Linked DNA regions of Tamandua tetradactyla. The protein of the gene in region 4 interacts with the protein of the main gene of each other region in a pairwise test. Links are inferred from orthologs where the notes say so. Each region holds a gene or a part of one and is shown on either strand. Other genes may lie near its edges. The genes, in order: RAP2A, RAP2B, CCNL2 and RUNDC3A.

What was found.
Region 1: the proteins of RUNDC3A (region 4) and RAP2A interact in binary tests that used the Homo sapiens proteins (3 or more experiments, as listed by UniProt). The link is inferred for Tamandua tetradactyla from reciprocal best matches to the Homo sapiens genes RUNDC3A and RAP2A.
Region 2: the proteins of RUNDC3A (region 4) and RAP2B interact in binary tests that used the Homo sapiens proteins (3 or more experiments, as listed by UniProt). The two-hybrid records come from large-scale screens. The link is inferred for Tamandua tetradactyla from reciprocal best matches to the Homo sapiens genes RUNDC3A and RAP2B.
Region 3: the proteins of RUNDC3A (region 4) and CCNL2 interact in binary tests that used the Homo sapiens proteins (3 or more experiments, as listed by UniProt). The two-hybrid records come from large-scale screens. The link is inferred for Tamandua tetradactyla from reciprocal best matches to the Homo sapiens genes RUNDC3A and CCNL2.

The regions. Positions count from the first base shown.
Region 1 is NC_135330.1:166,207,174-166,214,282, reverse strand, and holds the start of RAP2A (ras-related protein Rap-2a), read right to left. Parts: upstream 3,007-7,109; 5' UTR 2,947-3,006; coding exon 2,633-2,946; intron 2,401-2,632; coding exon of another isoform or gene 2,205-2,400; exon of another isoform or gene 1,983-2,204; intron 1-1,982. UniProt on the Homo sapiens protein: Small GTP-binding protein which cycles between a GDP-bound inactive and a GTP-bound active form. In its active form interacts with and regulates several effectors including MAP4K4, MINK1 and TNIK.
Region 2 is NC_135331.1:47,937,480-47,944,166, reverse strand, and holds RAP2B (ras-related protein Rap-2b), read right to left. Parts: upstream 2,756-6,687; 5' UTR 2,576-2,755; coding exon 2,024-2,575; 3' UTR 512-2,023; downstream 1-511. UniProt on the Homo sapiens protein: Small GTP-binding protein which cycles between a GDP-bound inactive and a GTP-bound active form. Involved in EGFR and CHRM3 signaling pathways through stimulation of PLCE1.
Region 3 is NC_135328.1:223,487,665-223,495,094, reverse strand, and holds the start of CCNL2 (cyclin-L2), read right to left. Parts: upstream 3,006-7,430; coding exon 2,724-3,005; intron 2,397-2,723; coding exon 2,322-2,396; intron 1,968-2,321; coding exon 1,858-1,967; intron 1,196-1,857; coding exon 1,075-1,195; intron 87-1,074; coding exon 22-86; intron 1-21. UniProt on the Homo sapiens protein: Involved in pre-mRNA splicing. May induce cell death, possibly by acting on the transcription and RNA processing of apoptosis-related factors.
Region 4 is NC_135332.1:23,158,525-23,165,488, forward strand, and holds the start of RUNDC3A (RUN domain-containing protein 3A), read right to left. Parts: upstream 3,020-6,964; 5' UTR 2,765-3,019; coding exon 2,658-2,764; intron 1-2,657. UniProt on the Homo sapiens protein: May act as an effector of RAP2A in neuronal cells.

The DNA.
Region 1 (7,109 bases), on a different chromosome or scaffold from region 4:
TCCACACAGATTTAAACCTCTTCTCTACCACTGAATGGTCTTGACTAAGATACCAAATCTCTCTGCACTTCAGTTAATCCTGCATTATGGACATACCAAATTTCACAAAACAACTTTACATGTGTATATTATATTTAAAGCAGCTACCAGACACACAAGAGGCAGAGGGGAGAGAATAATTATTGGATAACTCCAACAATATCTGGTTAATTTATAAATTGGTCCCCAAAGCAGCTGAAAATGCATTTACTTGAAAACCATGTTTTATTCACTTAAAGTGGTAGGAAGAATCAGAGAACAAGTACATTGAGTCCCTGCTTTAACATAATATATGCATTATACATGTATATTAAATTGCATATAATAAACATAGATCCTATCTCCCTTTCAATTTTAATTTATTTATAATATGCTATATAGGTTGGGAAGCCAGATGATGAGGTTAGGGTAGGATAAAATAACAGGTCATAGATGTAAGGGTCCAAGTATTGGGGATAAAATAGTTGAATTCCAGTGAAAAGAGTTTACGAACACTATTTTGGCTGGTCATTGTCTTTTTAAGTTACAAACTGAAACGAATGGGTAAAACAACATCCAGATAAGTAGGATTTTACTCTAATTTTGTTTTCCCTGGGCCACAAAGCAAGAAAATGTTCTAGAACACCAGTTTTAAACTAACATTTATTATATACAGAGAAAAGTAATTTGTACTAAAGATAATAAACTACAAAATTTTGTGAACTATACTATCCAATGATATCTTGCATACCATATTCTCTCCCCTAGGCTTGTGTCACGAAGTTTACCCTGAGTATGTGACTTTTTGAATGTATGTACGCATCCTTATGTTTATATTTAAATGTGAAGGATGGGGCAGTTGGGGCATTTATTTATATTATTATTTGATGTATGTATTTGGCTAAAGACTGTCATGTGGCAATGTATTAGACTACCATGTTCTGTAGATTTTTTTTTTAATTCAGTGATGTTGGGGGTAGAGAGAAATTTAGCATTTGAGTCTCTTGAATGCAGACCCTTAAATGTCATATACATACTCAGTTTAATACCAAAATTGCCATCTGTTAACCATCAACAAACAATTTAAGTAAATAAGACTGTAGAAATAAAAAGTAAGTAAGACTGTTGAAGTAAAAAGCTAATCAAATTAATAGATCTTAAAAGAGCAAGAGGGCGTGAAAATATTTACTTTATTCTTGCTGTAAATTTAACTCAAGAAATAACATACAAAATTTTAGTTTAGCTATTAAAGTATATACCCAATCAGTTAAGGGAGCCAGGGGGAGAGGGCCTCTCCTTGGACCTCATATGTTGCATTAAAAAACCGCCATCAGGAAAGTATTTTTGAGCATCCCCTGAGTACACATGACTCGGTCATTACTTTTTAAAAATTAGTAGATTCAAATAGGTTTATAATAAGATTGTGTTTATGGTAAACTTAAAGCTGTCTTTTCACTGTACCTCTTCAAATTTATGGCTACAGTAGATGAGGTAGGGAAAAAAAGTGACACTAAATCTGCAAAATTACCAGCAAAGAAGAAGTAATAACAACCAGAGAAAGCAGTAATGTGAATTAAATAGAAACTAGAAAAAAACTGCTAAAACTCTGAAGATATTACATTTCAAAGGCTTAAAATTATAGGGAAAAAAAAGTATTCAATCAACTTTAGAGAAACCCAGCAGTTTCAACCATTTAAGCTAATAGCCATATTTCCAAAATGCATACTTCAGAAAAGTGTTTTTATTAAGAAAGGCCTTATTTGCCTTAACTTTTAAATTAGCTAATACTTGGGTCACACATGTGAAGAAGCAGCTTGTATTTCATTTCCAGGCAAGACTTTTTTTTTTTTGAGGGGGGAAGTCAGCTAGATTAAAAAAAAAAAAAAAGGAATAAAAAACCATTTCCCTAAACAGTTAAACTGCATTCCTTTTAACTAGTAAATAGCATACTTGTGCAGCTGTATGCTAGAACTCTTCCAATTCCACTGAATCGTTATGTCTTCAAATAATACGTAAATCTGTCTTTAAAGTTTGCCACTAAATTAGAGTTCATTCTCTAAAAGGCTTTTGCACCATTACACCTATTATGAGATGAGAAAGGTCTCTTTGCTCTTCACTTGACATTTTTACAGATATGTATGTGCAATTCCTGCTGTCAAATATTGCAAAAGTAGACTTCTTGTGGTTCAGTTTGAAAATGTCTCGCCTATCCTGTACAGCTTCCCTCTTTCCAGCACAAACCTACCCACCTCTTTTCCCCCTGCAAGTTTTAAACTTTGTTTCCCTTGATGTTCTGTACGAGCGCTACTAACCTTATTCAAGAGACAAAGAGCTGTGCCTTGGGTTAACCGGATGGCCAATTTTAAGTTCTGAAACAAAGCGCTAAAATTTGAGATGCAAAATAATAATGATGACAATAACGCATAAAACCTCAGAGCCATCTCCCTAGACAGCTCCCCCTACACATGGACACACGCGGGGGATTTCTGACCGTGGGACAATGACTCGCGAGTCCAGCTGCGAAGCCTCCCGTGACCCTTTGGGGGCCGCCCGGGCGGGACCCCAGCTCGGCTCAGAAGGGGCTCCCGCGGCCGCGCCCGCCCGGCTCACTCACCGCTTCACTCGGATGATCTGGTCCCGCATGGGCTTGATGTCCTGGAAGCTCTGCTGGTTGACGAGGCTGTAGACGAGGATGAAGCCCTGGCCGTTCTTGATGTACAGGTCCCGCATGGACGCGAACTGCTCGGTGCCCGCCGTGTCCAGGATCTCCAGCACCGACGGCGACGAGTCCACCTCGATCTCCTTGCGGTAGAAGTCCTCGATGGTGGGGTCGTATTTCTCGATGAAGGTGCCGGTCACGAACTGCACGGTCAGGGCGGATTTGCCTACCCCGCCCGAGCCCAGCACCACCACTTTGTACTCGCGCATCGTCTCTCTGCTGCCGCTGCTATTGCTGCCACCGCCGCCGCCGCCCGCGACATAGACCTACGCCCGCCGCGCTGCACCCCCGGACCCTGCCCCGGCGGCTGGCCCCGCCGCCTCCCACGGCCGCCCCCACCTCACGGCCGCGGCGGTTCCCCGGGCGGCGGCGGCGGCGGCGGCGGCGGCGGCGGCAGCTGAGGGAGCGGCGGCCCTGGGCATGGGCCAAGCCGGACGGCAACGCGACCCCGCGGGCGCCGGGAGGAACAGAGGGCGAGCTGAGAGCAGGAGCCACGGGAGCTGCCGAACCGCGGGCCCGCAGTGCCGCCCGCCCCGCCCCTCGCGCCTCCACGCCCAGCTCCCCGCCCGCCGCCGCCGCCGCCGCCTCCCCAGGCGCTAGAGCGCGCGCCCGAGCCCCAGCCGCAGCGCCTACCGGGGGCGGGGCCCGGCAGTCCAGGGCGGGGCGGGGCCGGGCCGCAAATCCCCGCCTCCTCCCCTCAGTCGTCTAGGCGACCAGCCTCGCGCCTCCGGGGAGGCTCTGGGCTGCGTGGAAGCTTCTGCCCGCGGCTAAGCAAACCACCACCCAGGCCACTCAGCAACACCCTACCACGGCACCCCATCGAACACCAAGGCCTGTGTACTGAGCATGCCCAGTCCGTCTGCCTGAGACAGAAAAAGCGTCAACCAGAGAATCCCACTCTCAAATTACTGGGGAGACAAGATATTGGAAGAGCCATACCATCTTCGAGGCTTTACCTTGAGGCAGGAAAGTGACAGGACGAGATGGGCAAGAGTCTGAGGAGCCCTTTGGTTGAGGGGCTTTGCCTGACATCACTCTGTCACTGTCTTTGACTTTATATTGTATAAGCATAACGAGATGGCGCTTTGTTTTACGTGACAGGAACCTCCAGCCTTCTGCCTGAGGTTGTATAAACATAACGAATAGAAGCCTTGTTTTAAGCGTAAGTACACTGAGGTATAGGTGACAAGTATCTTCAATCCACTCCCCGATGGGCTAATCAGCCGCCGCTAGGCACCACCGAAGCCGGGTCCACGCCCGGTGACGTCGTCGCGTGCTCCACCCACCTTCCCTCTAGTCCCGCCCTTTCATGGTGCGGGACTGAAGTCGAGCTCTTCCCACGCCCTGTCAGCTACCGGCGTCTGAAAAACCTGGAGAGCGGAACCCCGTGCAATAGCCAGGAGGACCAGGGATACGTCTTAGCAACAGCCAGCTGGAACATCTAGGAGGCTGGATTCATTCCAGCCAACCAGACCACGTCTCTAGGACCCATGGTACCGCTCACAGCCAATAGAGAGCTGCCTGATACCATGTGATGGACCTTCTTCAGCCAATGGGGGAAAAACATTCGTCTCGGCGTCAGCCAACCCACCCCTCGAAGTCTCGCCGGGCTGGGCGTTTGCTCCTGCGCACTGTCTGCCAACCAATAGTAGTGAACTGCTGAGTGACCTGGGCTTGGATTGCGCCAACCAGAACAAGCGACACATTAACCACCGAGGGCCGGTAGTATGGAGACAAGGCTTGGGGCTGGTGTGGTTTGGGAGTGGTCAAAGATCCAGGGGCTGGGCGCCGTGCCTCATTCTGGCAAAGGAATGAGGTTTGTTGCAGGCGAGAGGGGTGAATTCCGCTTTTAACATAGCCTCGGTGGCAGTCTGCTTAAATGCTGGGCATGGAAATGGTTCTCAGGGATGTGGGATGGGTCGGGAAAACAGACTTTTGTCTTTAGGGTGAGAAATTTTCGGGTTATTAAGAAGGCATAACGAAGCAGTTACATTGGTGCTCTATACGTACCTTTTAGAACATCTGTGTAATACTTCCTGTCTCTAGCATTAAAGCTTATTTACACTCCCTGCCCTAGCCATGACTTCAAATTTAGAAGGAGTTAAATCCCCAAACATTCTTGGATTATTTTTGTATAACTTGCTATTGGGTTTCCCTTCCTTAAATTATGTCTTTCTCGAACTAATCTACACTTACGCATTACTGTCTCTCACATCTCTTGAGAATAATGAATTCTATAATTCTAATGTTTGATCTGGCAGATCTCTCCACCGATTTCTCTCCCCTACAAGGTCATCATATAAATATTTTGGTCCGAGCGTCTCTAAAAATCAGACGTTCTCTTACCACATTTTGTCAATTAATAAACTACCAGAAAGATGTATCTTGATTTCGCAGCCTCCTACTGCCCTACTACTCTATTGTTTGGAATGGATAATTTGTATTTTTGCATTATCTTGCTATAGAATCACACACCAAGTTTTTGTTTAAAACAATTAAGGGCAGGTGTGCTTTCGAATAAGTAATGTACAATAAAGCGTAACTCAGTCATTATTTCTTGATTACATGGCATCAAGATATGAGTTTATATCTGAGCCATCACAATCAGCAAAAATAGGGTCAAAAAGCATCGAAGTTTCTTTGTATAGATAATTACAACCCATGTAAAACTTTGTATTACGGTGGAACCGAAAATCCATTCACTGTGCAAGAAAAAGAGGTTCGGTGGCTTGAGAAATTTGCATTGGGATTGTGGGTTCAGAATGTAACCACAGCAAACAAACATATTCATTACTCCTAGGTTTCCAGAGAGTTGGATATTTCTGGATTGGAGCTCATCAGATAGAAGTTGTCACAAAAGTTAGTGACTAGGTTCCCTATTTTTCCACTTCGCACAACAGAGAGTAGGAGAGCTTTTTTTTTTTTTTTTTTTTTTGGCATTTCCCTGGTTATTTCTCCTGATCATTCATCAGTGCTGATTTTCTTGAAAAGGAGATGTGTAACGGTTGTGGTTTTTGGATAGTCACAGTTTATTTGTTTCTCAAATAGACTAACCTCAATTTCACTCTCAGTGTCATGGAGGTAGATTTTTAACCACTGAGAGATGAAAGAAAATGACAGATATATTTTCAGCATATTTTCTCACCTGTTCTGCTGTGGATAATGATACTGATTTGTGACTGTATGTGCAATGTTGGTTGAAGGGTTAGCTGCTGAAAGGGTGTTTAGAGAATTTTGCTGATATGGGTGGGAGATGAGTGTCTATCTCCTGTTCTCTTAATTATGTTCATTGTTATGCCAATATAATCTATTCTGAGGGTGATTTTAGAAATAAAAACATTTTCATTCATTGTTTGTGAGAAAGATAGCATATAATTGAGAGAAGACAAAATTGAAATTTCCCTAAGAGTTGTAAATCTATGTAATAGTGAAAACTTAACACTGTACACTGATACTGCAGGGTCTCTTCAGTTTCTGAAGTGAATTGCCAAGGGGCAAAACAAAAACAAACAAACAAAAAAACAACTTCATTTCTCCTCTCCCACTGAGTGTGAAAGAGCACTCACCTCTGCCCAAATACCAGCAATTGTCACATTTGTGTTACCATGGAAACCCAGCTCCTTTCTTTCCTTCTGTGAAATATGTTAGAAAAGGTGGAATTATGTGGGAAATACACTGTGTTCTGGGACTTCCTGATGCTGGCAAGGAGCAAATATGGAAATAATTTAGTATAAACAAGTTGTACAGTATGTGTGTAATGTGACCATTACTTCCTGGCTAATAAAACCTTGATTCCTATCACTTTTATTGAAGTGTGCATGTCTCTGACTATCCATAAAGGGGAAGGACAAGTCAAGTACATTTAACGCCTGTGAAATGCTGCTGGAAATTGTAAAGAGAGCAGAAGATATTTTCTTAATACTGTTGAGAAATATAACAGTGGAAAGAAAGGAGCAGGGTAAACTTGTTCCGCTTTTGAAAATGTGGTAAGTTTCAGTGATTTTGAAGACAAAAATAATTACAACACAAATTGAGCATACAAGCCAGTCAGTGAAAGAAACCACTTAAATGTTTTAAAAGAATAATTTTAAGAAGAAAAAATTTCCGAGAGAGAAGGATAGATGATTAAAACATAGGGAAAAGACAGACTTCTTAAGAACTTGAGGGTTCTGAGAAAACAAGAGATTTAATGTGGAGCATTTAATGTGGCAGAAGTGTGGCTGCAATGTTGCTTGCATATCCTGCTGTTTCCTTTTCATCTTGCCAAAAGACCCAGAAATGAGTTGGGATTGGTCTTCAATACCAGTACTCTCCCCTCTGCCCATGCTTAGTTCAGAAGGAGGCACATGACTCAGTTCTTGACATTGGCATA
Region 2 (6,687 bases), on a different chromosome or scaffold from region 4:
GATGTTTTTCAAATCAAAACCTCAAAAAAGTTGGACACCGTCTACAATCCATATGACAAAAGCACTGCAGAAGACACTACCAAATGAGACTTCAAAAATGAAAACCATCTGCCCCCCAAAGACGCTTTTGACTTGATGGGACATAACTTAAACAACAAGAAAAACAAGACAAGAATAATAAATTAATGAGGATCACCCAGCCATGCCAGATGAAGGATTACTTTCCCAAATCTAAGGCATTTTCAGCAATTAGCTTTTCCCCTTCCCTGCTTCCATGTCAGCATAACAGATTCAGTATATGGGCCCATCCTGTACTCTGATGATACAGCATACCCCACAGCTTTTGATTCTCTTGTATTTTAGGAATTTGGGGCAGTCACTCAACCCATAAGTGAGATGCTTGTCTTCAAAATTTGATAAATATCTCAAGGCATCATGCACCTGGCCCAATCCACCTCACCCATGATAACTGTATTAACTCACTGAATATGAAACACAGAAACACAAATAGTTTTGAGTTTTTCTTTAAAAATGACATTTGTATTAAAAGTCTTAAAATGAAGAGACAATGATTAAACGCATGTCTGGAATTAAAAATTACAGTTAGAATTCTCTTGATACAGCACAACAGTACAATTTTGCTCTTTGCTTCCGTAGGAACACCTTATAACAGAAAACCAAAAAAAACAAAAAACAAAAAAAAAATTATAAAACAATATAAAAGGGGAGCTAAATATCTTAAAAATTGAACAAAATGAAGCAAGAAATGACAAAAACAAAAAACCCAAACATTGCAAGACATGGAAATTACATTTGAAAGTCTGGAAATAATGAAGAAATTCACTGAACAGCAGGCCCTATTGTCTTGGCTTGTTCAGGCAGATTACTGAAAGGAAACTGGGAAGGGGTTTGGGGAATATCAAGATTCTAGAATATGGTGGGAAGTTCACAGGTTGGCACCGGCTGGAACAGCTGAGTTTGGAAGGCACTCTGCAGACACAGGGGTGCTGGGGGCCCTGAATCACATTTAGGAAGTCTTTGTACTGTATTTTAAAGAGTTAGTCATCAAAATCTGTTACTGCCAACCAAAAAAAAAAAAAAACTAAACTTAAAAATAAACACACAATATTACACAAAAAAATGTGCAGATCTGTAACATTTTTTTCACAGCTGATTTAAAAAAAAACAAAAAAACAAAACTACCATTCTCCCCCAGACTCCCCTTTAATACAGTAGGTAAACAAAATATAATTTTTTTTTTCCACAAATATCAGCAGACACTTTCTGGCACCCCCACACCGTATTGGCATCAGAGTTAACAGTCCCAGTTCAGATGTGCAATACTTCAGATTGGATACACTGTAACAAGAATCCAACTTTGCATAGACATCCTTAGAATCGCAATCAGTCACGGGATTGCCCTTCCAAGCTGGCAGAAAAGGAACCCCATCTTAATTTCCACCTACTCCTGGAAAACAAGGAAAAAAAAAAAAGCAAAAGTTTCTTCTCTCTTTCTGCTCCTTCACTTGGTTCTCCCGGACTTCCTTCCATGTATTTAAAACTTGGAACTACAAAAACGGTTGTTGCCAAAAAAGAAAAAAAAGAAAGACCTCTCTTTCCTCCATTCGCCCCCTCTTCTTCCCTTCTTTCCCCCCACCCCAACCCCTAATTTTTTTTTTCCAGGCCGAAACTTTTGCTTGCCGGGTGTCAAGCCGCCAATACAGCGCCCTAACGGCTACTTAAACGGGGAAATATGCGTCAATCAAAATCAATGAGAAACGTACATGCTGCAAAGAGCCACATTTCCAACAGGGTTTCGGATGGTCAGGACGGGTCACCCCCGCCACCTCGGGGAGGAGGCAGGGGACGTCGGCAGCGGAGGCCGGTCGGGCTCCCGCGCCATCTCCGCCAATGCAAAGTCGTCTCCAATCTCAAAGCAAGAAGAGAAATCACATTTAAGAGAGTCGGGTGCTTTTGGCTTTTGTGCGCAGAGCGCGGCCGGCGCACAGCGGCCGCCGGCGCCTCAGAGGATCACGCAGGCCGAGCAGCAGCCCTCGTCGCCGTTGGGCTGAGCCGCGTAGTTCATCTGCCGCACGATCTCGGCGAACAGCTCGTCCACCGAGGCTTTGTTTTTGGCCGACGTCTCCATGAAGGGGCAGCTCCACTCCTCGGCCAGGGCCTTGCCCTCCCCGTAAGAGACCTCGCGCTCGCCCTCCAGGTCCACCTTGTTGCCCACCAGGATCATGGGCACGCGCTCGTACCGCTTCACGCGGATGATCTGGTCCCGCATGGGCTTGATGTCCTGGAAGCTCTGCTGGTTGACGAGGCTGTAGACGAGGATGAAGCCCTGGCCGTTCTTGATGTACAGGTCCCGCATGGAGGCGAACTGCTCCGTGCCCGCAGTGTCCAGAATCTCCAGCACCGACGGCGACGAGTCCACCTCAATCTCCTTGCGGTAGAAGTCCTCGATGGTCGGGTCGTACTTCTCGATGAAGGAACCCGTCACGAACTGCACGGTGAGCGCGGACTTGCCCACGCCGCCCGAGCCCAGCACCACCACTTTGTACTCTCTCATGGCTCCGTCAGCGCTCTCGCCGCTCCTGCCGCGGCCCCGTCGGGGCTGCGAGCCTGGGGAAGGTTGGGCTTGGCGGCCGGACTTCTCCCCTTCTTCGGGTCCGCAGGAAAAAACCAGGAGAGAGTGGCCGGGGAGTGCAGGACGCAGTTATCACAAAGCCGGGGCCGGGCGCCCGGCCGACCCGCGGCGGCGGCGGCGACGCGTCCCAGGGGCGCGGGTCCAGGGCCCCGCAGTAACCCGCAGCAGCAGCCCGGCCGGGCGGCGCACCGGGAGGACAATGCCAGCAGCCTGTGCGCGGCGACGGCTGGAGCTCTTCGCCGCTGCAGCCCGGGAGGGCGGGGAGGAGGTGGCGGCGGCGGCGAGCTGCGGAGGCGGCTGCTAATTGAGCGCCGGCCGCGGACGCGCGTGGCATGAGTCCCCGCGGAGCGTGTGCCCACCGCTGCGGCCCATCGCGCTCTCCCTCGCTGCCTCCGCGGGGCGAGGGCTTCCTACTCGCCGCGCGCAGCCCGGCCCTCCCCGCCCGGGCGAGCATGCCCAGTGCGCCACCGCCCGCGCCCATCCGAGTCACAGTTCCGGGTTTTCCGCGAGGCCTGGGAGGGACCGGGCGGAGGGCGGGGCTCGCGATTTAAGTCTAGGAGGAGCGGATTTGGGAGCGGCGCGCGGCTGGTAACTAAACTCGAAATGCGTGCATTTGTGCGTCTGGATCAAGTGGGAGAGGATGAGGTGGGGGTCGGCTCAAACGGGAAAATGGGGCAACTTTTTTGTACCGCTCTGGGGTTTGTGTACAAGAGCGGTGCATCTACAGAAAGCGCGTGGGCCGCCCCGGGGTGGGGTGTCTGGGGTTTTGCAAACTCCGGGGTTTTCAGGGGCCCACGGACTCCACGCCTCAAGCCCCGGCGGATTTGAGTCTCAGGTTCGGAGACCCAAAGGGCGTTTTGGTGCGGTGGAACGCATGGGAGGCGCGCGTAAAAACGCAGCTCCACCTTCTCTAGCTGACCCTTCCCACACTTTATCTCCTGGACAAAGGAAACGGGAAAACTGGGCTGAGAAACTGTTCCGACGAGGAAAGGTTGGGGTGGGGGGGGCGGGAATTGGATAGTACTCTCTGGACCCCTACTCTCTCCCAGCAGGGACTTGACGGGTCCCACCCACCTCCTTCTCGGCTGTGACCAAAACCCGGAAACCCGAAATACATCCCAATCCAGAAGTCGCGGCGATGCTCCCTGCCGCTCTGGGCATGCTCAGTCGGCCGAGCAGATTTTGGGTCCTGAAAGTGGGAAGCTTTTGCATCACACGCCCACACTCCGGCTCAAATTACCTCTTCCAGAATTCGGTACCCATTGGTCCCGGGGCGCAGGTCTCACACCCCCAAATTTTCTCCCATTGGCTGCCGCCAAGATTTTATCAGTTTGGGGTGCTTCATTGGCTAAAAAGTAGCCTCCGCTTGTGATTGGTTATTTATAGAGATTGAGTTGGGAGGCGGAGGCACAGCTGTTCTTTCTCCGCGGCTCCCCCGCCCCCTTCCTCCCACTTCCCCAACCCAGTCGTTTTGAAGCTGAGAGTGAAAAAAAAAATAGAGGAATTTAGGCGGAGAGCTCAGAACTAAATATAGTCCTTTGTTGGTGTTTTCGAGCGAGTCTGGCTTCTCGGTGCCCAGTCACGACTGTCCCTTAGGCGAGTAAGTCAGAAAGGACTGATTATAGTTCTTGGACACCAAGTTTTTTTGCAGGGACGGGACAGGAGCAAGGGTGAAGAAATGGGCCACTTGGAATTAGGTTCGCCTGGAGTGGGTGGGGGGAATGCCCAGGCTTGCTTCTTGAAAAACGTCTTCGCTTTCCAGATGGACAATCGCTAGGCTTGGCTCGGCTCACACTCACGGGAGGTGCGAGGGAGATGCCTCGACTTGATCCGTGTCTCTCTCCTTCCTCCGAGAGGAGAGATGTCGAGACCTGTCTGAAGACATTGAAGGCAGCGTGAGCCCGAGGGTGGAGGGGGTGGGGACGGGACCGAGCAGCGTCAACCCTGACTCGGTGGCTTACCTTTTTAAATCGATGCCACTTCCCACTGGTTTAACCTTCAGCATTGGAGGGATGAACCAGCATAAACTGCAGATGCCAATACTTGGTTTCAGTTCCTAGTCCCGTCGTGACTCACAGCCACTTTTGCGAGTTAACTCAAGACCTCTGGCTGTAACTCCTAACAGGAGTCTGCAAGCTGGTAAAGTGCTTGGGCGCAGGACCAAGTGGGAAGTGGGCAACAGCTTCTGTCTCGGGCCGGCTGGATGGTGTCGACCCCTACGCCTGGCTCCTCTATTTAGTGGAGAGAGGAATTGCACCGTCCCTATTAGAGGGCTTGGATATACTTATTCTTATATAATTCTCCAGAAAAGCCTTTCTGAGACAAATTCGCCTAACACAGCTGTAGAGAACCCAGCAACGTTTCTCCAGCATCTCCACGCACCTACCATCTCATTTTCACTTCATAATAATGATTATTACACCTGTCTTAAAGTTGAGGCAACTGAGACCATGAGATGTTTAGTAACTTACCTGAGATTGCCTAGCTAGGGAGTGGATGAGCTAAGATCCCAGGTGTTTGGCTGCAGCGCCTGGTCTCTAATGTTTGGTTGTACTGCCTTAGCACAAGAAAGTTCCCGGATTTTCTTTTCCGAGGTTGAATTTAACAGGCAGTGCAATCATACCTGTTCGATCCCAAGTAACAGGGACCATCTGGTCAAGGTGATGGTCTACGTGGAGAACGCGCTTCTAAACCATGATCTAGGTAGCTGGATCTCTGGAATCCTCTGCATATGATGACAAACTCACAATCGAGGCTAGCTCAGGCCTCTGTACTCACCTGTGTCCCAGGAATGGCTTTTTGTTGGGGTTTGGACAGTTCTTGGACTGTAGACTGAGGTGTGTAATCCCAGGCCTTTGGGCGCCTCCTTTTGCTGTCAGTTATAAGGGTCAGTTAGGGTCAGCGTTCCCTTCCCTGCCACCTTCCAGCCTGGAGAATTCCTAATTCACACCTGGCCTTCCAGATCCTTGCGAAGAGGTATTTATTTGTCATAGTGGGAGAGGCATTTATTTCTCAAGGTTGGAGAATAGACTATATTTTAACAGTTTGTTAGCTTGATTTATAACTTAAATATTTAGATTCATGCTCTGGGCCTCTGTTTGTACTCTTGCCCACAAATGTTGGGTGTGGTTCTGGGTCTGATAAAGTAGAAAAGCTTTCTCCTTATAGGTCTAGTATCTAATCCGAAGTATTGGATATTAATCATTATCTCTGGGGCCTTAGGCAAGTCCCTTAAACTCTCCTGTGCTTGATTTCCTTATCTATAAAATGGCGATGAAAAGTTGCGCTATCCACCCAGGTAGGTGAGGTTCCTTGAGGAAATCTGTTGACCTTGTCCCGCATTTAGTGGGGAGAACTGAGATCCAGGTAGATAGATGACTTGGGCAAATTAATGGGAGTGTGAGAATTAGAGCCCTGCCATCCTGGCCGCCCTTTCCATGCTGCCAGTGTGTCCTTAGTGATAAAAACTGACAACCAATGAGAGAATAGTTGGGAACGTGCTTTTAAAAGCTGAAGAGCAGGGTGCATGGGTGGTTCAGTGATAGAATGCTCCCCTTTCATGTGGGAGATTGGGCTTCGATTCCCAAACCATGCACTCAAAAAAAAAAAGCTGAAGAGGAAACTATACCCAGAATAACTGGTAACCATGCAGATGGATATTATTGAACCTTGGTGGCCTCACCAAGACATGGAAGAGGCTACAATTTGAATAAACAATATGATCCGTGCCTTAGAATTTCTATTAAGGATTCTTCAATAGCAATTTTTATTACACTCAGATGGTCTCCCACAGAAAATTTTGCACTGGGGCTTTGGGATCCAGAATGAAGCAATAAAAATTGCTTATACACAGATTTTTCTTTGCTGATGCATGGGTTTTTAAGAGGGTCACTTCCTCCTATGAAATCTGTTAGGAGTTTTTGTGTACCCCTCTATGGCATCCTGTAACATAATTATTTACAAGTGTATGTCTTGTCATCCTAAGCACCGTGTGAATTCTTTGAGGGCAGAGTCCATGTCTGGTTGATCTCTGG
Region 3 (7,430 bases), on a different chromosome or scaffold from region 4:
AACAAAAGAAAATCAACTCACCATGACGTCTGGACCAGGTGTTGGTTACGCTCACACTCTAACACCTGAAGGTACATAACGATTATCTGGAAGATATGGGTCAGGCAGTTATTACCAAGAATCTGGAGAGCCAAGAATTCAGCTTTCTGGGCATCCATGCAGCAAACGAGAGCCTCAAGCTAGATTCCAGGAGTGGCTTCCCAGTCACACGCCCAGTGGATGGAGCTCGGCTGGAGAGTGAGCTTTTGCTGACGCACCTGCTACCTGCTTTGGCAGCTGGGCAGCAAGCATGCACACGAGAACAGAGCTGCACCCCGGCAGGGAAGGCCTCGTTTCATGGCCAGCATCTAGCAGATTCTCAGTCTTGTCTTCGACACCTTTTCCACCAGTGAGATTTGCCTGCCTAACATCTCTGTATCCCAATCACCAACTTACATAAAACACATGTGAAAGTCCTCCAGAAAGTGAAGAAAGCGCTTAAAGCTGCTTAAATTGGAGAGTTTACCAAGAATTTGAAATGACAAAAAATCAAACAAGTAAAAGAGAAGATATGAGGACACCCATCAATGAGAAGGGAATGAAATCAAAGATGCAAACAGCAATCTTTTTTAAAAGCAATTTTTTAAAAAGTATGACACAGCAGATATTCGTGGCACTGTAAATAAACTGAAATATACTAAAAGTATAGTAGTCGTGCTCCTTAATTAATACTTGCTGCAAAACTGGCTTAGTTCATTTCAAAATAAAAAGGCTTAGAATTCTTCCATTTCCTCTATAAGACAATGAAAGATTATTACTAATGGAACTTCAGAAGACAAACTGTGGAAAAAGAAAATGTTTTATAAATTTACCACTATGTCTCTGTCAACTCAAAACTAAAAGAAGCCAATTCCAGTACCCTTAAAAAATATTTAAAATTAAGAAGTAATATTTACAAAAAGATTACTGCGAAATTATAGACACAAACTGGAGAACCAAGTCCAGGATGCATTTCAATTCTCTTTAAAGGCTTGCTTAGCAGTGAAAATAAAATGAGCAGCAGCAGCCAGTGGCCAGGCCTGTGCCTATACTGACCTTGTGAGGATGCTTCACGTGGACGCAGAAGCCAAGCTCCTTCAGAACACGTCTTTCTGCTTTTATGATTTGGTTTTTTAAATTAACATAATCTTGATCCAATAGAAGAGGCACAGGTTTCCTAGAAAGACAAACAAAGCACATGACCTGCATAAGGGTCAAATAAAATGAAGTCTTTCAAATCCCATGATTACCTCCAAAGGCTGAGAACTGAGGACAGAAACGCTACGACACAGACATCACGAGGAGGCCGACTTTACTACCTTCAGGGACAGCATCACAAAGCCTTCCTAGACCCCTACACTGAGCTATGGTCCTCCCCTTTCCCTTATAGATAAATGGCGCTCTAGGGCACAGCAAAGTCCAACTGCACTGGAGCGGGCAGCAGCTAGAGATGCTGCTAAACATCCTAAAATCCAAAGGGCAGCCCTGCAGTGGAATAACTTGGTCCAAAACGTCATAGTATAGAGGCTCCAGAGCAGAGATATGTAGGAGACCAGAGACGAGAGGGTGATGAACTGATATGGGCAACCCAAACACCAGTACCAGGAAAACCACAGCCACAGGCCTCTGTCCTTGCCCACAGCAGCCCCTTCGTTCATTGAGCAATCCCTGTTGAGAAGCCCTGGGCATAACCCCCTGTCCTGGTGCTTGGGAATACATTAACGAATGACCCACAAGTTTAAAACCTCACACCAGGAGTTTTGTTACAGAAGCCCTAAGGCACTTCAAAAACCACAAATATAAGGAGACATTCACCACAGCTGTAACAAAAACACTCACTTCTTCTCTCTCAGATGCCGGAGCCGATGAAACACGTTGATGACATCCCTTATCCGTCTTGGGGCCTCTTCTATTTTGGAGGCCAGGTGAACACAGGCCATTGACACATGCTGAAATAAATGTACACACTGCAACATCCGGATGACTGTTCCCACCCTGATGGCTTCCAAAGACTTGGGAAGCGCGACGAAAGCAGTGCTGGGAGCCCACCATCGTGAACGTAATTAATACCACTCAACTGTGTACTTCAAAGCTACAAAAATGGAAAATTTTACATTGAGCCACAGAGCCAGAATAAAGGTTTAAAGAGATAAAAAGAGCAAAGGGGAGCCGCACAGAGGAAAAGGCTGCCCGGGAGAGCGGGGCTCTGAGCACAACAGGCTCCCCACACCTGGAACACACCGCAGGCCTGCTTCCGCCTCCGCACCCCTGGGGAAGGGGCCCCGGCGGGCGCAGGCCCTCACCTCCATGGAATGCTTCACGAAGGACTTGGTGTAGAAGAACCGCTGGAACAGCACCTGCCCGGTAGCCATGGCCACCTGGAGAAGTGAAAAGGGGTTTCTACCACTTCTAGCCGCACGTTCAGGAGCTTCGCAACATAAAGGAAATCGCCAGCTTTCGCGTGGCTCTGGATCCAGGAATTAACCCAAAGCCTCTGATACCCACGAAGGCTGGCGGCCCCCACCCTCCGCAGGCAGGCCCGAGGCGCGGCGTGAGTGGGCGCGGGGCCCGGGCGGGACGCCGGCGGAGGTGGGCCCGGGGCCGGGGAAGAGGCCGGCGGGATGGGCCGGCGCGAAGCCCGCGCGGCCGCCAACAAAAGGCCGGGCCGGCGGGGCGGTTACCTCCGCCCGCGGCCGCGCACTCACCTGCGGCAGGCGGAGCAGGATCCCGGCCGCCTGGATGAGCTCGCAGCCCACCACGCGGAGGTCGGTCTCCGTGTCGGTGTCGAGGCCGCTCGACATGGACGGCGTGAAGCGAAGCTTGTCGTCAGGCAGGAGGCAGTTCTCCAGGGTAATGAGCACCCCGGAGTACAGCCTGTCCCCGATCAGCACCCCCTGCGCCCCGGGGGCTGCGCCTCCCGTGCCTGGGGCGCCGGCCGCTGCCGCGGGAGCCGCGGGCCCCGGAACCCCGGCCGCGGCCGCCGCCATTTTGTGCCGCCGACTTCTCCTCGGCTCCTTCCCGGCAGGGCCGCTCCTCGCGACGCTCTACGACGGCGGCCATCCCGCCTCCCGCGCGCCATTGGCTGGGCCGGCGGAGGTCCTGTCGCGCCTCCCGCTGATTGGCCGCATGGCCTGCCCGTCAGCGCCGCGCCGGACGCCGGCGCCGGAATCGGCGCGCGCGGGGGTGGCTGGTTACCCAAGGTGCTGCGCGGCGCCGGGGCGCGGCCGCGAATGCTGCGTCGCCGACCCGGAAGCCGCGCGTCTCTCCGCGTGGCCGAGCCTTCCCGGCTGCGGCGCGCGATCCCACGGAGCCCCCGAAGCGCGTAGCTCCGGTCCCGGGGCGCGGGCTGCCTGCGGCGGAGGAGGCTGAGGGGTCGTGGTTTAAGGGGTACGTGCCGTGCACGTGGCAGCCGCGGTGGGCTCACGTTTCAGCCCTTCCGGACCCCGAGGTTCAGGCCGCAGGAGTTGCGCAGCGTCTGCAGCCCACAAGCCCTTGGCCTTCGGAGTTCAGTCCGCAGGCCCGAGACGAGGAGCTCGGTAAGGGGGAGCACTGCGTCCCGCGCCTCTGCCGAGCCCCTGGCCACGGGAGAAGGCAGGCATCAGACGGTTCCGGCGCGGGGCAGCAAGGCCAGGGGCTGAAGCGGTCAGCATGACTGACTTCGTGGGCCCCGGGCACCCCGTGGAGAGTTTGAACTTGAATAACAGTGGGGGCCTTCTCCACGGAAAGGGGGAAGAGAGAAATAAGACTAAGTGTCAATGGCTGAGAGATTCCAAACAGAGCCGAGAGGTTATCCTGGAGGTTATTCTTAAGCATTAAGTGATATCACCTTGTTATTCAAGATGCAATGGAGAGGCTGGAGGGAACTGCCTGAAAATGTAGAGCTGTGTTCCAGTAGCCATGTTTCTTGAAGATGATTGTATGATGATACAGCTTTTGCAATGCGACTATGTGATTGAAAAAAATAATAATAAAACCTAAAATTGTGGAATTGTAACCCATGTCAAACTCTGAAATACGTTCTATAACTAATTGTGGTGCTGTGATTTGAAATTTATAGCTTTTTAATGTTATTTTTCACAAAAAAAAGAAAAAAGGTCGATTGTGATGATAGAAAAATATTTGAGCCTTCTAGACTCCTATATTTTGGAGCAGCTAGAAGGAAAAATATGAGAGATTCGTATGGTAGCCCATGATAAACGCTGGGATCTGTCCTGTAACTACTTTTTGAAGAGTGCTTTGAAAACTATTGCTTTGTTTTTTTTGCTTGTGTATGTTATACTACACAGTAAAAAAATGTTAAAAAATAAAAACCCAAAAACAAAACAGTGGGGGACCACTGATGGGGCTTTATGCCTTTGAACCCCTCTTGACCTTACAGACCTCCCATTTACTCCTGAAAAGAGAGACTTGTGCCTAGAAGGCCCCGCCTAGTTCTCACCCTTGGGTTCAGTACTGCCAGCCTCCTTTGCAGTTTTTAAGGCACTCAGCATCAGGGCTGTTGGTCTCATTGTACAGGAGGAATAAATGCTGTCGTCATCAACCGTGACTGCACACGTTGCGGTTAAACATTCACCAGTAATGTTGTGAGCCCTGGCCTGGGGGTGGGGGTGGGGAGCCTGAGAGGGGGGGCAACCTGGGGTGGGGTGGTTGGAACTGGGTAGGGGGTGGGCTGAGAAGCCTGGGGGGAAGGTAGACTGTCGCACTTAAACTTGCCTTAGATATTGCCCTCAATTCAAACCGGCCCAAACCCAGAGGCCTCCATTGCTTCCCTCCTCTGAAGTGTCCAGATGGGGCCCTGACTTCTGGAGAGACTCGATCCAGCAACTCCCAATGCTGCTACCTAAGAAGCCAGTTCTCCTCGTCTTTCGTAGCCCCAACATCTCCTCTCCCTAGGTGGGCAGCACCAGGATCCTCCTGTGTGCAGGCAAACTGGCTACAGCAGCACCCTCTAGGAAAAGTTCCTGTTCTCTGGAAATCCCAGCAAACATGTTTCTGATTATCCTTGCCTAGTTGCTTGCCCATCCCCTGGGCAGTGATTGGCCAGAAAAGTGGGAAGAGTTAATGGCCTTAGCTAATCAGGGCCAGGCCCTAGAGCTAGGGACAGGGCCACAGTCCCCGGAACTGCACCAAAGGGAGAGCTGGGCCCTGTGGCTGGAGGAAGGGGTTGGGGTGGGTGCTGGGAGCAGCCTGTAGTGGTCTATGACACCCCCTTTCATTGAGGCGAGATACAGAGCAAAAGGCAGCCCCTTCACTACCATGCAGTGCGCGCATCATTGGACCCCACACAACGAGCTCTGATGCTCCCGTTGCCTGTTCAGTAGCCATCTGCTGATGACTGAGGAGTACTGTGACCTGTGTGCACAGCATGGCCCTGCTGTTCAGTGCAGCAGGACAACAGTGGAGGGGCCGCAGCCCCTGGCCCCCAAGTGCTCATGGTCCAAAGGCCATTGTTAAACAGGACAAAGACCAGAGGGTGCTAAGGAGGCCGGCGCAGTTGTTGAAGCCAGAGGTGATGCTGGAGAAAAGGACGACGATTTTGAGTGGGAATGAAGGAAAGTGGGCAATCAAGAGACAGGACTTGCTCGGGACCTGTGGGTTGGAGGGGGGCATTGAGCCTGAGGGGGAAGCCCACACTGACTCTAGGTGTCTGCTGGCAAAGAGGCAAGTGGAGCATGTGGGGTGGGGGGAGATGGGCGCTCGGCTTAGGAACCTCTGGAGCCGTGGGCAAGTATCCAGGACGCAGTGGGACAAGCATGTCTCGAGCTCAGGGGAGGGCTGCATTGGGAAGGATGTGGGAGCCACCAGCAGGCAGAGAGTGGCTAATGCCATGAGCCTTGTGGCAGTTAGATTTGGTTGTCAACTTGGCCAGGTGAAGGCACCTAGTTCTGTTGCTGTGGACATGAACCAATGGTACGTGAACCTCATGACTGTTTGACTTAATTGGCTGGTACTTAAATGAGCAAGCTCAACGTAGCACAGCCCAAGCAGCTCGGCATACCTCATCTCAGCACTCAGCCCAGGCCTTTGAGATGCAAAAAGAAATCACCCTGGGGAAAGTTGTTGGAACCCAGAGGCCTGGAGAAAAGGCCAGCAGAGATCACCCTGAGCCTTCCCACCCAAGAAAGAACCTCAGATGAAAGTTAGTTGCCTTTCCTCTGAAGAACTAACAAAATACATCCCCTTTTATTAAAAGCTAATCCATCTCTGGTGTGTTGCATTCCAGCAGCTAGCAAACTAGAACAAGCATGGAGAGCTTTCCTGAAGCAGGTGGAGGATTGAGCCCAGAAAACAGAAACACGACATGGAGACTGAGCAGGCGCAGCAAGAAGGAACCCTAAGCATGTTGCACGCCAGCCTGCAGGGAGAGCCAGAGTCCCACAGAGGGCGTAGGTTCTGGGCCCACAGATGCTCAGAAGTGAGAAAAGTTGAAAAAGTGGCTGTTGGTGGTGGTGAGCGCCACCAGAGGCGTAGCAGATCAGTGGACCCAGTGATCACAGGGGCAGAGTGGAACTGAGCAGCCGGCCTACGGAAGAAAGGAAAGCAGACTCAGGAGCGGAGTGGGGCAGGAGGGTCTCAAAGTCCAGAGAAGACAGGCGATGGGTGGAACCAGAGCCCCATGAGGACCGAGTCCAGCTTTGGGCCCCGAGGGAGCACCTGGCCCTGAAGGTGAGCAAGGACCCAGCTTCCATCTTGGCCAGGGGAGAGAGGTGTGGACCCCTCCTGAGGTGCACGTGCTGATCAGAGGTGGGCACGGTGGGCAGGCGGCAAGGCAGGAGGAAGGCACATGGCTGTCCCCATCAGCCCCGTGGGCTTGAGAACAGATTCCGGCCTGACTCTGGACTTAATGAATCTGAGTCCCTGGGGCATGGAACAGGATGCTGCATGCTAAATGGCCTCATCAGATGGGCCAAGGGTCAGTCACTGAGAAGCCCCTGCCTGGCGATGTGCGGCTGGGGTAAAGCCAGGACCAAGAGGGCCAGCTTGCCTGCTGTGGGGAGGGCTGGGCTAGGGACCAGTTGGAGGCTGCAGAGAACTGAGGCTGGCGTACAGCTAGGGAGCTGGGTCCCAGGGTTTCTGCTGGAGAGAGAGGTCAAGGCAAGGGGACTACAGAGGGAAAGAACGAACTTGGGGCACGGGGAGGAGGGAAGTCCGCGGTGAGAAACCTGGATAGGTTTACGGTGAGGCCGCACGTCAGAGTGGAGTCATCTGGGGGACAAGAGGGCCAAGACCCGCCACGAGGCAGGGGCGCGCATGGAATGGGGAAGCAGGTACTGAATGGGCTGTCCAGGCAGCCTTGAGGGGAGCCAGGATCAGAGTTGAGAGGCATAAGCCCCCAATTCACAGAAGAGCATCTAGGATTCCAAGAGAGGGGGTACCATCCCACCTGGTGGCCTCTTCTGTGCCAAAGCTGT
Region 4 (6,964 bases):
GTCAGGGTTATGCAGGCTGCTTAGAACTGTCACCCCCCCCCCAAGGTATATAAGCCCTTACAGTGTGGCAAGCATTATATTTACATGTATTATCTCATCCAATGCTTACAGCAGCCCTGGGAAGTAGAGTCTCTTATCATCATCATCATCATCTCAACTTTATAGATGAGGAAACTGAGACTCCAAAAGGTTGATCTGTTCGGGGTCATGCATCTAGCCTGGGGAGGGGTCAAGCAGGTGTGGCTGATTCCAAAGCCCTTGCTCTTTTTGCTCCCTCCTGGAGCCTGCTGGGGACTGTCATGATCACCAAGGCCCTGTGCAGCCACAGCCTCTGTGGCCCTCATGCTGCAAGGCTCTAGCCCTCGAGTATTGGCTTCTGAAGCCCTCAGGCCAATGGTCCAGCTGAACCCACAGAACCTTCCCTTTCCTTTTGGGCTGAGAGTTGGTCTGGCCTGAGATCAGAGCCAGGTAAGGGTGGAGCTGCACTAGAGAAGGCCTGGTGGATTCAAATACTGCTTTTTTTGTAATACTATGTGACCTTGGACAAGCCACTTAATCTCTCTGAAGCCAATTTTCCCATTGTAAACAGGAATAATAGCGCCTGCTTCATTAAATATTGGTTTGCATCCCCGACAGGACTGGGAGAAGGTAAATGTGTGCAGGCCAAGAGGAGCTGGACCATTAGTGGGGAGGCTGTCCCTGTTGAGCAGGAGCCTGCGTTTAAGGCATTAGCTGGACTTCATTATCCAACCCGCCTCCTCCAGTTTCTTCTGGTCATCTGGGTCAAGCCTCGGTGGAGGCCAGGGGCTGGGTTCAGTGTGGCAGCCATCTGCCATCTGCCCGTAGGGGTGCTGCAGAGTGTTTCTTGCCCCTGGGAGCCCCGTGGTGTGCTCTGGGTTAGGAGATGCGGTGCCTGCTGAGGGTTACCATGGTGATGGGAAGGCCTGGGCCCAGGGGAATGCATGGCCTGTTACATGTTCTGGGAGCCGGAGGCGACCGTGTGATGGCAGTGAGGCAGCAGGAGCCTGAGGGGTTTCTGAGTCTTTATCAAGCCTGTTCCGCCCAAACCGTACAGCTTACTCCTGTGCTCTAAGACCACCTCCAGACCACCAGAACCTCTGCGTCTCCAGCCCAGGCTAGGGGGAGTTTCCCTGTTCCCATACGCACTCGAGAGCTACAGCTATCTTGACAGGCAAGAGAAAGAAGAAGGACCTGGGAGTACAGAGTGAGGAGAAAGTTGAGAGGGCTGTCATCAGATCAGGGCTGCATTCTGTCACAGTCATTCTCTGGGGTGGCTGTTATACCCACCCGTGTACCAGGCATGGGGATAAGGCACTCAAGGCCCAGAGTGGTTAGGATAGTTCACCAAGGCTGCACAGCTAATACATGATGATATAAGGGCGTGAACCGAGGACCATTGGCCCCAAGGGCAGGAGTCTTCATTTTAGAGCACATTGGCAGGGTTGGAGGTGGTGGTGTGTGAGGGTAGAGGCAGTGGCCTGAACTTTGGGCCAGGCCATAGCTGCACTCCCTCCCTCCATAACATTCAAGGTGTTTTTATGGATGGTCTGATTTGCCCAGCACTGTGCTGGGCACTAAGGATGTGATGGTGTGAGATAGATGCAGAATGGTTGAGTGTGTGCTCAGAAACCTTGAGGGAGCTGTAGGGGCCAGGGGCCAGGGCACCAGTGTGCAGGCGGCTAGGGCTGGCAGCTGAGCCCTGCATGTGGGACCATCTGCCCTGAGAGGGCCTACTCCCCAATGCCTGGGAGCAGGACGGCAGGAGAGGTTGCAGGTGGAGAAGGCAGCTGGCATGGGGACCCTCGAGGGAGAGGCAAGTATTGGTGGGGGATGCAGGGAGTTTGTCTGGGTGGCTGGGCACGTCCTGCCTCCAGGGAAAGATGGGGAGGGTGAGTCACTGCAGGATTGAAGTGGGAAAGACCACTTCCTGGGCCCCAAGAAGGCAGGCAAATCTCCCTAACACTGCGACAGCCCCACCCTCAGGGCCATCTAGAGACCGATGGCCCTGTCCCCTTTCTCCTTCCCTCGAGCCCAGGGGACACAGGCTTCTGTAGCTGGGCCCTTGGTCCTTCCCTTGGTAGGGACAGCAGCTCTAACCCTTCACTGGATGGATTTGGGGGCTTTGCCCACATTTCCAAGCGACTCTGCTACAGGCTGCAGCTGCCCAGAGATAGAGGAGGGCACAGAGTCCCTGCTCCAGGATTTGTGGATAGCAAAGTCCCAAGACAATGCTCCACCGCAGGGAGACCAGGCTCTGGGCATTTATGCCCCTTCAGTTCTCCTCTGCCCACCTCACAAACCCCCCACCCCGACCCGACCCCAGCAACGGAGCCAGCCAGGCCCCCCTCCCCCTCACACACAATGTCACTTCCTGGTTCTCGCAGGAAGCTGCAATGCCAATAAAACACCCCCTCCCCCTCAGGCCCTTGGCCAAGAAGGGTAGGTAGCAGACTTCCAAACCCCCTCCCCATTCTGGACCTGCGAGGGGCTGTGGCAATCTTTTTAACCCTTTGATCCCCTTCCTTTCCACTCGGCTGCGGTGCCTGCTCCCGCGGGCACGCTCAGTCCGGGTTTCCGCAGCCCGCCCCAAGCCAGCTCCCGGAGCGCCCCACCCCCCGCCCGCCAACGGCGCCCACCTGCACACGGTGATCAGGTTCCTACGCTCCACGGCCACGTTGCGGGAGGACGCTTTCTTGGAGGACAACCCTAGAGCCATGGTGGTCTGGACAAAGCTCGCTTCCATCCAGATGTGCGGCTACTGCTGCCGCCACCCGCTGCCCCCCACCCCGCCCGGTGCCCCGGCTCCCCCGCCGGCTCACGGCTGGGGCCTCTGCCCGCCGGGGCCCCTCGACCCCTCGACGGTCATCTCCCAGCCTCAGCGCCCGGCGCCCGGCCCCTTCGTTCCCTCCCCCGGCGGTGACACCAGAGCAAAACAAGGCCGGGGAGGGAGCTCTCCGAGGTGCTGAGCCGGGGCCTGTCACCCCCTCCCCCAGCCGCCCGGCCCCCCCGCTGGTGACGTCAGGACCCCCGGGCCCCGCCCCGCGGCAAGCAGGGGACCAATCCGCCGAGGACGCAGGGTTTGGTGGTGAAAGGGGAAGGGCCGAGGCCCCAGGGATGTCGGAGGGGGTCCCCTGGAGAGGCAGGGATTGGAGAGAGGAAGGGGGGACCACTGGCTGTCCCCCGCCCCCACATTCAGAGCCCGGGACTCCTCGTCCCGCGTCTGTGAGCTCCGACACCTCTACTCTAAGCTTCTGACCAGAAATTGTTAGTGTCTGTCCCTGATTTCTCCCCCTGCTGTCTGGGGAATGGAGGTCCTCACCTCCGGTAACCCCACTCTAGCGCCGCCCCCACCCCATCGCCCCTTTCAGCATCGGCCTTCTGAGACCAGGGCACTGGCTGCATCCGAGAGTTCAGGTGGCTGACCCTGGAGGCTAGGGAACGATCAGAGGGACTGCGTGTCGTTTTGTCCCTCTACTCGTGCTTGATTTGTCGGTCTGCCTTGTGGAGCCAACTACTCCAATGGTGGGGGATGGGAATCCAGAACCGCTCAGGACTGTCCCGAGGCTCTGGGGATGTTCCCAGCACTGTGGGGCCACAGCAGCTGGAGGGAGTGGCAGTTAAGGCACGGCTTTCCCTCAGACCTACCCCCTCACACAACCCGAGTCAGCAGCGCTAAGGGTTAACCCTTTGACTGCCAACATTGTTGCAGGATGCTGTCAACCCACTCTAAATGGAGTCACTGATCCCGGTGCAAGGCCACCAGGGCCCTGCAAAGCTGGTTGCAGCTTTTCCAAGTAGGTGGGGAAATGGAGCATAGTCTTGCTTCCCTGCTACCCTTTGCCTCTCTATTAGTCTCCCACATCCTGCTTCCAGCTGCTCCATTTCTCTATTTCTCTATTCAATCTGCCTAAGGTAAGGCAGCCGGTTCCTCTTTCGGGCACTGGAATGGGCAGCTACCAAACAAAGCCTTTCTAGGCTGATCGGAGGGGCTGCACCCCTTCTCTCCATCCAACCTCTGGGACTTCCATCCCAGGGCTCAGCTCATTAACCAGCTCTTGCCACCCACCTAATTCACATTCCTGCTTCTATTCTGCTAATCTATAGCCAGAGTCTCTGCGTTGATTTAGATGCTCACCCAGCAGACAGCAATTCTGTTACCACCAACAAAGGAGGAGAAGGAAATGAAGGACTTAGAAGCTCCCAACCCTTGTTTGGCTCCCTGAGAGCTAGGGAGAGGGTTCTGACTCCTAGCAAGGGAGTCAGAATTCTTGAGTTCTTGGACCTAAGACTTGGTCTTTTTAGTTCCTCCTCTTGCCTCACCTCTCTCTAGAAGCCCTTCTAATCATCCAGCCTCCAGCCCATAGCTAGCGGCAGCATTGATGTTCTTTTGTTTTATTAAATTGCAAAATATATCATATGCATAAAAGCAAATAAAGTATGAACAGTTTAAAGAATATTTACAAAACAAACATCTGTGTAACCCCCTCTCAGGTCAGGAAAATGAACACTATCTGCCCTGGGAGCTCCCTTGTGCCTCTTTCATATCTCATCTTCATCTGTTCCCTCAAGAGGCAAATGCTATGCTGACAATTGTGATAATCATTTATTTCATTGCTTTTCTTTATAGTTTTCTTATCTATGTAGGTTAATGTGGCCAGCTTTACAATTTTATAGTAATAGAGCCATATTGTATGAATTTTGTAATTTTGCATATCAAATAGAGTCTAGTTACAAAAATAGAAACCACATTAAAAATTTCAAATAGAGGGCCATGGTGGCTCAGTGGCAGAGTTCTCACTTGCCATGCTGGAGACCCAGGTTCGATTCCCGGTGCCTGCCCGTGCAAAAAAAAAAAAAGAAAGAAATTTCAAATAGACAGGATAAAGTATGGGGAAAGGAGTTGGAGGACGAAAAGAGCAAAAAAGAGAGAGAGAACACAGAGACATCCCAAACTAGTAATTGAAGGGAGCAGCGAGGGCTGAGGGAACAAAAGGGAAGAGATGAGGTCACAGCAATCTCGGAGCTTGGTGGAGGGATGCTGTTGAGTTGGCGCTCAGACTCTGGGCCAGGCCACCCTGCTGCGGCTCATTCCTTTGAGGAGCAGCTACAGGGCTGGTTCTCGGAATGTAGAAGAAGCTGAAGACTGGAGGCGACTTCCGATGAGCGAATGACAGGAATATGAGCAAGAAAAAATGGGAAGTCCCTTCCCCCTTCCTCCTGCCTTCCAGTCACTCCCTCGTGCCTCCTGTTAGCAGAACCAACTAGAAGGCCAGCTAGCCGTGGCATCTGGGAAACCAGTTTGAAGCATCTGATGTTCCACCCCGCATCAGAAAGCAGAGAAAAGAAGAATGAAGTTGGAGCTGAATGGTAATAAGTAAGTAACCGGCACAGTCCACCCCCTGTCTACTCAGCACCCATACCCACCTTTCTACCCGTATTTGGACAATAGCAACTTCGTGACCCTGCCTAACAATGTAGCGTGTCCTTCACTCAAACGAAGATGCTCTTCCCCCTTCTTTAAAAAAAGAGATGCAAAGTCCCAATAGTAACGGTATCCATCTCTGGGTGACAATAATATCCTCATCTGAGGCAAATGGCTCACACGTTGATGCTGACCCTGACTCCTCTCAATGACAAGGGTCAAGTCTCATCAGGGACCCAGTGGAAAAGAATCACCCCAGCTATGGGGGGAAAGGAATTATTATACTTGGGGGTGGATCTTGAGGGTGTTGGACTGGGATCAGGGGGTGGGATAGAAGGCTGGATTAGGGAGAGTTTACTGATCTGAGGGTGTTATGGTTTGAAGCATGTGTACCCCAGAAAACATCTTATTTTTAATGCAGTTTCATTGAGATATATTCACATACCATGTAATCATCCAAAGTACACAATCAGTGGTTCACAGCATCATCATATAGTTGTGCATTCATCCCCACAATTTTTCAACATTTTCATTACTCCCCCAAAATAAAAATAAAAGAGCCCCCCAAAACATCCTATGCCCCTTATCCCCCCCTATTATTTATTTATTATACTTATTTTTTTTCTTATCTGTCCGTACACTGGATAAAGGGAGTGTCAGCCACAAGGTTTTCACAATCACACAGTCACATTGTAAAAGCTATATAGATATATACAAACATCTTCACGCATCAGGGCTGCTGCAACACGGTCAACAGTTTCAGATATTTCCTTCTAGCTATAATAATCCACTAAAAACTAAAAAGGGATATCTGTGTAATACTTAAGAATAACCTCCAGGATGACCTCTTGACTCTATTTGAAACCTTTCAACCACTGAAACTTTATTTTGTTTCATTTCTCTTTTCCCTTTTGGCCAAGAAAGCGTTCTCAATCCCACATTGCTGAGTTCAGACTCATCCTGGGAGTCATGTCCCATGCTGCCAGGGAGATTTACACCCCTGGGAGTCATGTCCCATGTAGAGGGGAGGGCAGCAAATTTACCTGCCAAATTGACTTCAAGAGAGAGGCCACATCTGAACAACAAGAAAGGTTCTCTACTTAATTATGAGTAGGCTTATCTTCTCCTTTGCAGGAATAAGTTTCATAAGGGCAAACCCCAAGATTGAGGGCTCGGCCTATTAAATTGGTAGTCCCCCATGCTTGTGAGAACATCAGGAACTCCCAAGTGGGGAAGTTAAATATTTCCACATTTTTCCTGTCCCTCAAGGGGGCTTTGCAACTACTTCTTTATTCTCTGCCCAGATTACTCTGGGATGTGTCGGGACATAACACTAACCTGTACAAACCAACAAGATCACATTCCTTATTCAAAGTTCCATGTAATTATGGCGTTCAAATAAACTGACCGTACAAGTTAAATTAGATAGTGTGCTACAGAAAATATAAATTTTGCACCAAATAAACATCTCTCCCTTTGGTCTCACACAGAAGTTGAAGTTTTAAAACATGGTCACTATCA